Zea mays: one gene and its partner. The protein of the gene in region 1 binds, or shares a complex with, the protein of each later gene. Links are inferred from orthologs where the notes say so. Each region holds a gene or a part of one and is shown in the gene's direction. Other genes may lie near its edges. The genes, in order: protein PLASTID TRANSCRIPTIONALLY ACTIVE 12, chloroplastic; Thioredoxin-like fold domain-containing protein MRL7 homolog, chloroplastic.

Region 1 (4,726 bases):
AAGTAGTGTACATGCGCTAGCATGGATATATGATAATGATGAAGAAAGGTAACAGGCAAATGTATCTTAAGGCATATGAAAAACATGTAAATGTCCATAATTTAGGGAGGAAGTAAAGTGAAGATGACATATGACATGTACAGTTCGATTCATAAACCAAACAGACACATGAAAACAATAAATTTGTCAATAGCACTTATATATTTGTTGGCAGGTACATGTTATTGTACATAAAGCATGAACATTATAAACACAATTAAACGTAAGGGAAGTGTATGGCACAGAACTAGAAAGGAAAGTAGTACATGCAGATAGAAATGATACAACTATTGTCATGATAGATACACATTTTGAAGTCTTGAACATTACATAAGTTTGTGGGTCAAACACATGTTCAGGCAGACACATGATCAGGCAGATAATCATAGTCAAAAGTAAATGAACATGTCATGAATTGTAGTGAACAACTCATGAACATACGTGTATTCCATGCAAGCACAATGAATTATGACATAATCAGGGTGTCAGTGGAATGCCATATATGGGTGAAGACTAAAATGCTACGAAAGGGTAACATTCCCCAGAAACGCCACAAATACAATTTGTTCACTTAATAAACATCTGCTTCAGTGGAATGAACATCACTGGGGAAATAGATTTGCTGTCATGGCTAATGTTAGGCTACGAGTTTGAAAACCTTGGTTCCATTGGCAAGTACGGGTGAACTGATAAATTGTAGGGGCCGTCTGCATCTCCTAGAAACATGACGCCCAAAGAAGGGTTCAAAGTGGTTCCGAATGCGCACGACTACTTAGTGTTGGTGTGTATTCCCATGTCGTGGTACAGACAAAGTTTGTTCCACCAGGGGGCTAAATCGGAGGATGAACAACGTAACAAGTTCACAGCTCAAACTACAAGTGTGGATCTGCTAAACTCATATGGGCTGGCCAAAATAAACTAGGATTTTTGAACAAAACCAGTGCTGATCTAAATATTTCCTGAATGAAGTATTCATTTGACGGGGTACAAGATGGTATACCTCAAGAAGGGAGGATCTCGCCCGCAAGACGGCGAATCGAAGCAAAATACGAGTGCTGTTCTAAATCAATCGTGAAATAAGTATTGATTTGACGAGGTTGAAGAAGGTAATACCTTAAGAAGGGGAGATCTCGGCCGCAACACGCCGAATCGAAGCGTCTCCGTGTGGATCTGATGGCGCCGTCGATGGTCGGAGACGGAAGCCAACGAATCGGTCGCGACGTACCTCGCCGGAAGCGGATTGGACTCCTCTTCGTCTTCGGTCGCGAACGGCACTGCGTGGTCACGAAGTCGAGGTCCTCTTCTGTGCAACCGAGGGGGGCCGGGGCCGACTCCACCGGCCGACGGGAGATCCGCCGCCGCGTCGCCGCGCTAAATCGCTCTTCCGCGGAGGGGTCGAGGCGAAGCGAGGTGGACCGAGAAGTTTCCGTAGTCTGGCGCGGCCGGCTCCGTCCGCGTGAAGGAGGCGAGGGGGCGGTTATAGTCATCCCCTGCATCTGGCATGAGAGAGAAGAGTGCGGCGAGGTAGGGGAGAGAGTGGCGCTCGCCGCTGCGGGAGGTAGGAGAGTACTGTAGCCACTATAGAATGAACAGTAATAGGGTAGGAGATGTGTAGAGTGAAGCGACAGTCTTATAGCCCGCTATTACACTTCTCTAAAGTCGAAAGACAACCTCCTTCCACGTGAGCGCTTTCTTCCTTCAGCCTTCTCGTTATCCTGAACGCGGCAATCTCCGAAGGTCCCATCCAAAACCTCGCCGCCGGATTCGCACCTCACTCTCGCCCGCGCACTACGAATTGACTGACGCCTACGCCCTACCGCTGCAAGCAGCACCATAGCGGGAGCCGCTACCATGGCGTCCTGCTACAACCCGTGGCGCCTATTCCCAGGTAACCTCCAGCTTGGACCCCATTTCATCGTTCGTTATTCCCTGCGCACAGTTCGTCTCGTCAGATATCACAGCCACTCTGTTGAAACTGTTCAGGCATGTCGACGGCGGTCCCTGCCGGGCCCGTCACGGCGCCGGCTCATTCTCGCACCTGCAAGTCCTCGGTAAGTGCCTAAACGCCTCGTACAGTTTATAACTTTGGTTCCTAGTTCCAGTTCGGTTTACGCGCCTGACTGGAGGTCGTTCGGTGCGTGCACAGAAAGTGTTCAGTGCTTTGCCTCACCGGAGGGGTCTGCTGTTCCTGGGCACGCGGCGTGCCAGGATCAAGTGCGTCAAGGACGACTCTCTCCATTTCGACCCGTCGAAGATAGAACCGCCACCGTACTCCAGCTACTTCGACTCCACATCCGGTCAGCTCGAGCCGGCGTCGGGCGCTCGGGCAAGCATACCCGGGAAGGAGTACTGGCCAGAGGGCACGGCGGCCCGCGTCCGTGCCGCGCGAGCGCCTGCTCCGGTTGGGGAGTCAGCTGGGATGCCATCATTTGGCACGAAGCCCGGGAGCAGGAGGAGAGGGTATAAGGAGCAGGTGACGTCGGCGTCAGGAACGGAGGGTGCACAGACTGATGACAGAAAGGATGGTGATGAACCTGATGTGGCTATTATAGGCTCTGGGGACGATGCATTGGAGGAGATAAAGGATTCGGTGGATGAGTATGTCATTTATGAGACACCAGAGGAAGAGGAGCTGAGTGAGTATGACATGGACAAAATGATGGGGCGGCCACACCCGTTCATTGATCCAGCAAAGGCAATGTCACTAGGGGAGCCGAAAACCAGTGAAGAGCTCTGGTGGCACTGGAGGAGGAAGTCTCAGGAGGAGGAAATGTGGTCAAGATGGCAGAGGAGGCGTCCAGATGTTGACACGGTTAGTTCCTCACTTGATTGAACCTAGCAAGTGGTAGGTAGTGATGTTTCCTTATATTGGGGCTGTTCACCAATTCCGGACATTGAAAGGTACTGCAACAAAAGGCCATAAATGTATGATTTTGAGTATTGCTATGGTACTCGCTAGTATTTCTATGCCTCATTTATAGTTCATATAGTATAAATGTTGCACGTACGGAACAATTTCCATGTGATCTTCCAGTGTCATTTTGTTTGTTTTATCCGTCCAAAAGTAGCTAGCCAAGTATATGGTATTTGTGTTGCTAATTACTGTCAAGTGTTAGCGACCATGGTGTCAATTATTTTATGGTTCTCCAGTTATTCTGTTTGTACTGTGAACGTGAGAAGAGTGTCAGTCTCACAGATGTAAAGGTGAGGTTTGTGCTTATGGGTTATGGCGTTGACGTCTGTGCATGTATATCGATGTGCAGGTTTGTCTGTTCATATCGCTTGATATGGTTGAGGCTTTGTGATTTTATTTTTTACGTTGACTGGTGTTTCAACTAACTTATATTCCGTGACGGCGATCCACATTATAAATTGTAATGTATGCTGTATCATTTTAGGTTTTTGCAAAGGCAATGGCGGAGACTGGGCAAATTAAAATTTTTGGGGACCATCCTTCACGGACAGAAGCTGCTCTTGCAAAGACAAGAAGACATTTGTACAAAGAGGAAAGGTTGACTTACATCCACAGAATACTAGAATTATTATACCATATATTTTTGCAGTACATCTTTACCGAATGATTTTATTGAATATCTGTGCACACATTGTTTCTACTAATTGCCTTACATCATTTGAGTTGGTAGTACCACCACTCGTGCATGGTCTCATCACATAATCTTTCGTAAACCTATTTAACTGCTCTTGGATTTACACCTTCTCCAAGTTATGCCACATATTACAAATATGTGGCGGTCTCATCATATATTCTTAAATACTGCATCAGAAAGATGTCGAGGATCAATTTTTTTAATTGACACAAGTTTATCTTGCCCATTTATACTCTTACATTTAATATACAATATAAAAACAGGTTAGAAGCAGAGCAAAGGAGACTAGAAGAAATAGGGCCAATAGCGTACTACTCAGAATGGGTTGAAGCTTATAAAAACAAGGATACATCACGTGAGGCCATACAGAAGCACTTTGAGGAAACTGGCGAAGATGAGAATGTTCAACTTATAAAAATGTTTCAACACCAAACTGCTGGGGAATATCGTATCATGATGGGCACCGATGTGCGTATTCAGCGAGATCCTTTGGCCATGAGAATGCGGGAAGACCAGATCAAACAGAGTATTTCTTTGCTAAAAAATCTTCTTCTTTTGCATGTCTTGTCTTTAAAGTCTATTTTTTTTGTTGCTGCTGCATAATCATGTGTTATTCGTCTTACATTAGCTTCTTTGTTCTATTCCTCCACAGAGATGCTCTATTCTAGTCTGGTACAACGTCGACTGGAAATAACTAGGAACAATTACATAATATTATTAGAAGCTAAATATAAAAAAACTGTTTTCATACACCTTGGAGTCGTGTCTGTGTTGCAGAACCTTCTGGGTGATTTATATAATCCCATCCACTGATTTGAGTGTGCATTTCTTGAACTAATATGCTCCTGTTTCTTATATATAACAGCAGACCATTTGGGTGGCTTGAGTTAGTAAAAATGTTGTTCAAAATCAGTGTCTTCTTCATAATTGAATGCCACCTTAAAGTTACTCTACTCTTGCAAATTGGAAGAACATATTTTTTGAATAGGAAGGTTTACTTCATACACTTTAATTGTATTGGGGAATATCCTGATCAGGACATAATATCTATTTTTTAATGTGTAGTTTGGGGCGGTGAT
Region 2 (4,222 bases), about 10 Mb from region 1:
TTCTACTTTATTTAAATATATAATAATGATTTTATTGTTTTATGATTTCTTATTTTATATATTTATTGTGGCCTGCTACCTTATATATTATTATTAATTTTATATAAATGTATGACTTACGTGAATTTTTGAAGTCAATTGAGGGTACAAGTTACAATTTTTACCGATCGAATTTTTAGATTTCGATCGTAACCGGTGTAATTTTTGTACCGAACTTTCGTTTTCGATGTTTTCGAATTACCGATATCGTTTTCGGTTCCGGAGTTACCGTTTTCGATCTCGTTTCCGAGGAAAAATATGAAAACGAAAATGGTTTTTGTGTTTACCGATCGTTTCCGACCGTTTTCACCCTTATTGTCGATGATCTGTTTTCTTTTGTGTTTTTTTTTCAATTAAAACCTCTTATGTTTCTCTCTAGCCAAATTCTCATTCTCACCACTACCCGTGCTAGTGTTCCTTGCTTGGCTGATGTTGTTCCTTAGGGGCATTTACAGTGGTAGATTTCATAATTAAGAAAGAAATGAGATATTTATTGAAACAATCTCTCATAGTGAAGAGTTTCATTCAGCACGGTTTCATAGTTAACATGTAAAAGACAATATGTCTAGGTAATAATGTATACATGGTTTCATCTCCATGAAAATCATTTCATCTCTTTGTTTATTAATTGCTTGCCACATCATCTAAACTGCTGACATGGCACACCATTAATAAGAACGAAGCCCCTATGAAACTGACCATAGAAAATGGCATTAGCATCTAAGGTGCACAAAATAGTCTTTATGTCGTCTTAGGTAGCCCACAATGAGGGGTGCAACTTTCTTCTGTTAGACTGTATCTTTCCAAACTCATTTTGACAGTAAGTGTACATTCAGTGAATATGTGATACATTATTTCAAGGTTTCAGAAGCACAACTGATGGAAATAGTTATTTGGATAGCTCCATAGTTAATTGGTGTACTTTGTTGTTTATAAAACCAAAAATTACAATGTTCGAGAGGGTTAAGTTCCAATAGAATTTTTTGGGTTCCATCCTTATTAGAATAGGTAGGTTTGACGTCACGACTCTTCTCGTTTATTAGAGTTTGGGACGGTTGAGCAATATATGCGTAGTTCTTCACATTCGTCTAAATTTATAATGTTTTCTAGACTAAACTAACTATTGAAATATGACACATACACAATTATCATTTACTGATGTTATAGAGATAAGTTTCTCTCTTCTTTTGGTTTGAGAGATCCAAAGGGATTAAGATACTCCATTTGCTCTAATTTTGGCAGTTCCTCACACTCGTCATGCTTTCACGAATCATTCACGAGGCTGGAAGCGTCAGTGCCGTTGGATTTGAGAAGATCACGAGACCAACGGGCAACGGCGGACGAGAAACCGCCATTCGGATAGCACGGGCGCACCTGCCGACCGGCGAAACCCAGCCGCATACTCGCGCCCATTCTCGCCGCGCACGATGCTCCGTCTCCCCACCCTCACCGCCCTTAAACCCTCAACCCCCGCCATCAGCTTGAACCGTGTCGGCTGCAGCCATGGCCGCCGCCGCCGCAAGCTCATCTTTGTCTCATCCGCTCCTCCGCCGTCTTCTTCGTCTTCACGGCCTCCGAAGCCGACGTCGAACCCGGAACCACCAAAGCCCACACATGAGGCCCGCAACCGGAACCCGGATGGATCCACCGAGGCAGGGTTCCCCACAACCAAGCCCCGGAAGCCACGCCGTGGGCGCCGCAGCGAGTCGGCGGCCGTGGAGGACTTCGTCCGCAACCGCCTTGAGCAGGTCTTTGCCTCCATCCAGGAGCGCAACCCCGACGTCCTCGAGGGCAAAGGCGACATCCTGAAGCCGAAGGCCGATGTGGAGCGATTACCAGACGACGAGGGAGAGGGAGAAGGAGGAGAACAGAAGCCCGTGGTGGAAGAGGAGGACCCGAGCTGGCCGCTGGATGCCGATGTCGGATGGGGGATCCGGGCCTCAGAGTACTTCGACAAGCACTCGATCAGAAATGTCACAGTGGACGGGGTGGAGATCGATTGGGAAGGGGACGTCGACGAGGGGTGGGTCAAGGAAATCAATTGCTTGGAGTGGGAGAGCTTCGCATTCCACCCCAGCCCCTTAGTCGTCCTAGTCTTCGAGCGGTACAACAGGTAAGGACCATCCATTCCCTGTCTAGTTTTGATTTGTAAACTGTTGGCATTATGTTTGGAATGGGCTGTGTGTAACCCAATCACCATTTTAAGCTTTGCATTGTGTAATGCGGATGTCCGTAAAGTGTGAATCAAACGAAACTAGAAACTTCAGAACTGTCCTGGTACTGACAGATAAACGGCAAAACAGGCTTCAGTTTCTGGAATTGCTTTGTTTAGGGTGAAGTTTATTAGTTTATTTACAGGAGGCTTTGATTGTGTAGTATTGAACCCTGCATGATGTTGTGATTTGCAGGGCTGCTGACAATTGGAAGTTTCTTCAAGAATTGGAAAAGGCTGCTAAGGTGTACTGGAATGCTAAAGATCGCTTACCTCCTCGGGTAAGTTTGAATAGCATCTTTTGATTATTTGGCTGGGTTACTGGTCTTTGTGCAGGTCCTAAGTTTTGTTTTGTTTTGTTTAATAGACAGTCAAAGTTGATATAAATATTGAGAGGGATTTGGCATATGCACTTCAAGCAAGAGAATGTCCACAATTATTGTTCCTTAGGGGAAACAAGATCTTATATAGAGAAAAAGGTATGTCAAACTAACACCCCAACCTAGCCACCCCTATATGGTTCAAATTGTCCTTGTGAGAATTCTATAAAAAAAATAGTGAGGGTTACCTTTTTTCTTGCGGGAAATTAATTGAGAAACAAAATAGGTAAGTAGAGGTGAGACCTACTTATCATTGTGACATTTGAGAGGAAGAGGAAACTCCCATTAGAAGATTGGAGAGAAAAGGGGATCTATTAGTTGAGCCTCTCCACAATAGAGCAAAGGACGTATTTCCAGCTCAATTTATACGCCCATGCGGCCCATAAGATGAGCTCCTGACAGGATTCCCGTTGGAGTTCATCCTCCATTTTTCTCAATCTGAAGGTTTTGTTTCCATGCTAAAACGTCCATACAGTCAGTGGCGGACCCAGGGTCCAGCGACCCTAGGCGCCTGGCCAGACTTTGGTGCCAGCGCACAATTAGCTATTCATCGCAGCACCTTAATCGGAAGCTTTGAATCATTTGATCTGAGTGATGTCTTAAGTCTCGTCCGGGCTCTATTTCAGTTCTGGGTCCGCTACTGCATCCAATTCTGTTCCAGCCCCAGCTCAATGCACCAGCGACAGCACCCTGCAGTTCTGATCACGGGAAATTCCATTTTACTAAGGGCTAGTTTGGAAACCCTATTTTCCCATGGTATTTTCATTTTCCCAAGGGAAATTAGTTCATTTTCCTTTGGGAAAATAGAAATCCCTTGGGAAAATGGTGTTTCCAAACTAGCCCTAAAGGATTCCTATTTTCCCAAGGGAAAATGAACTAATTTCTCTTGGAAAAATAGAAATCCCTTAGGAAAATGTGGTTCCCAAACTAGCCCTTAAACGGAAAAACAGTAGAGGAAATTCCTACTGCTGTAAGCACACACAAGCACACATTGTTATGTATACACTCAATAGTCGTGTGTCAGTAGTATTCAGTATTTCGTGGTACTGACGCGTACTACTGGTTGGTACTGGATGTGGTTCATTCGTATTCAGTATTTCATGGTCAGTTTTAGCTACTAGGTGTAGAATAGCATTGCCAGTTTTATCTGAGAGAGGGAGGGAGGCTGTTACACAATTGAAGAAAAGAAAAGCACAATTACAGGAATCATAGGGCTGAAGCAACTACAGCCTACAAAAAGAGAGGAAATTCAAGGACAAAAGGACAATTCTGAAGGCCCTTCAATCCTGTGTAACTGCAGTGAAACTTTGGGCGTGTTTGGTTCTGGCTTCTAGGCCCAGGCAGGTTAAAAAAACTCAGCCGGCAAGGAAAGACCACCTCACGGTATTATATTAAGAAGCTTAATCGAAGCACGATCGAGGAAAGTCACGAAAGCTAGCTCCCCATGCAGCATGAGGGTCCGCCCCCTATAGGCCAGATCTTTACTCGTGCTTTGAGCTCTCCCAACCCCTACATAAGGATCCCTCTATAGGCCAGTCCATCTTGTGTGCACACAACTAGGGGAACCAGCGAGTGACTTTTTTTAACCTCA

Evidence for each region.
Region 2: protein PLASTID TRANSCRIPTIONALLY ACTIVE 12, chloroplastic (region 1) and Thioredoxin-like fold domain-containing protein MRL7 homolog, chloroplastic share a complex: the UniProt entries of both Arabidopsis thaliana proteins name them as parts of the transcriptionally active chromosome (TAC) complex. The link is inferred for Zea mays from reciprocal best matches to the Arabidopsis thaliana genes PTAC12 and MRL7.

The regions. Positions count from the first base shown.
Region 1 is NC_050098.1:198,690,062-198,694,787, reverse strand, and holds the start of protein PLASTID TRANSCRIPTIONALLY ACTIVE 12, chloroplastic, read left to right. Parts: upstream 1-1,698; 5' UTR 1,699-1,890; coding exon 1,891-1,927; intron 1,928-2,022; coding exon 2,023-2,090; intron 2,091-2,185; coding exon 2,186-2,851; intron 2,852-3,437; coding exon 3,438-3,550; intron 3,551-3,910; coding exon 3,911-4,173; intron 4,174-4,712; coding exon 4,713-4,726. UniProt on the Arabidopsis thaliana protein: Involved in plastid gene expression. Acidic transcriptional coactivator necessary for the transactivation of many PIFs target genes (class B genes), particularly during the regulation of hypocotyl growth.
Region 2 is NC_050098.1:188,497,992-188,502,213, reverse strand, and holds the start of Thioredoxin-like fold domain-containing protein MRL7 homolog, chloroplastic, read left to right. Parts: upstream 1-1,422; 5' UTR 1,423-1,466; coding exon 1,467-2,152; intron 2,153-2,447; coding exon 2,448-2,532; intron 2,533-2,618; coding exon 2,619-2,730; intron 2,731-4,222. UniProt on the Arabidopsis thaliana protein: Plays an essential role in early steps of chloroplast development. Involved in the regulation of plastid gene expression. May positively regulate plastid-encoded RNA polymerase (PEP) activity through binding to FSD3 and CITRX/TRXZ.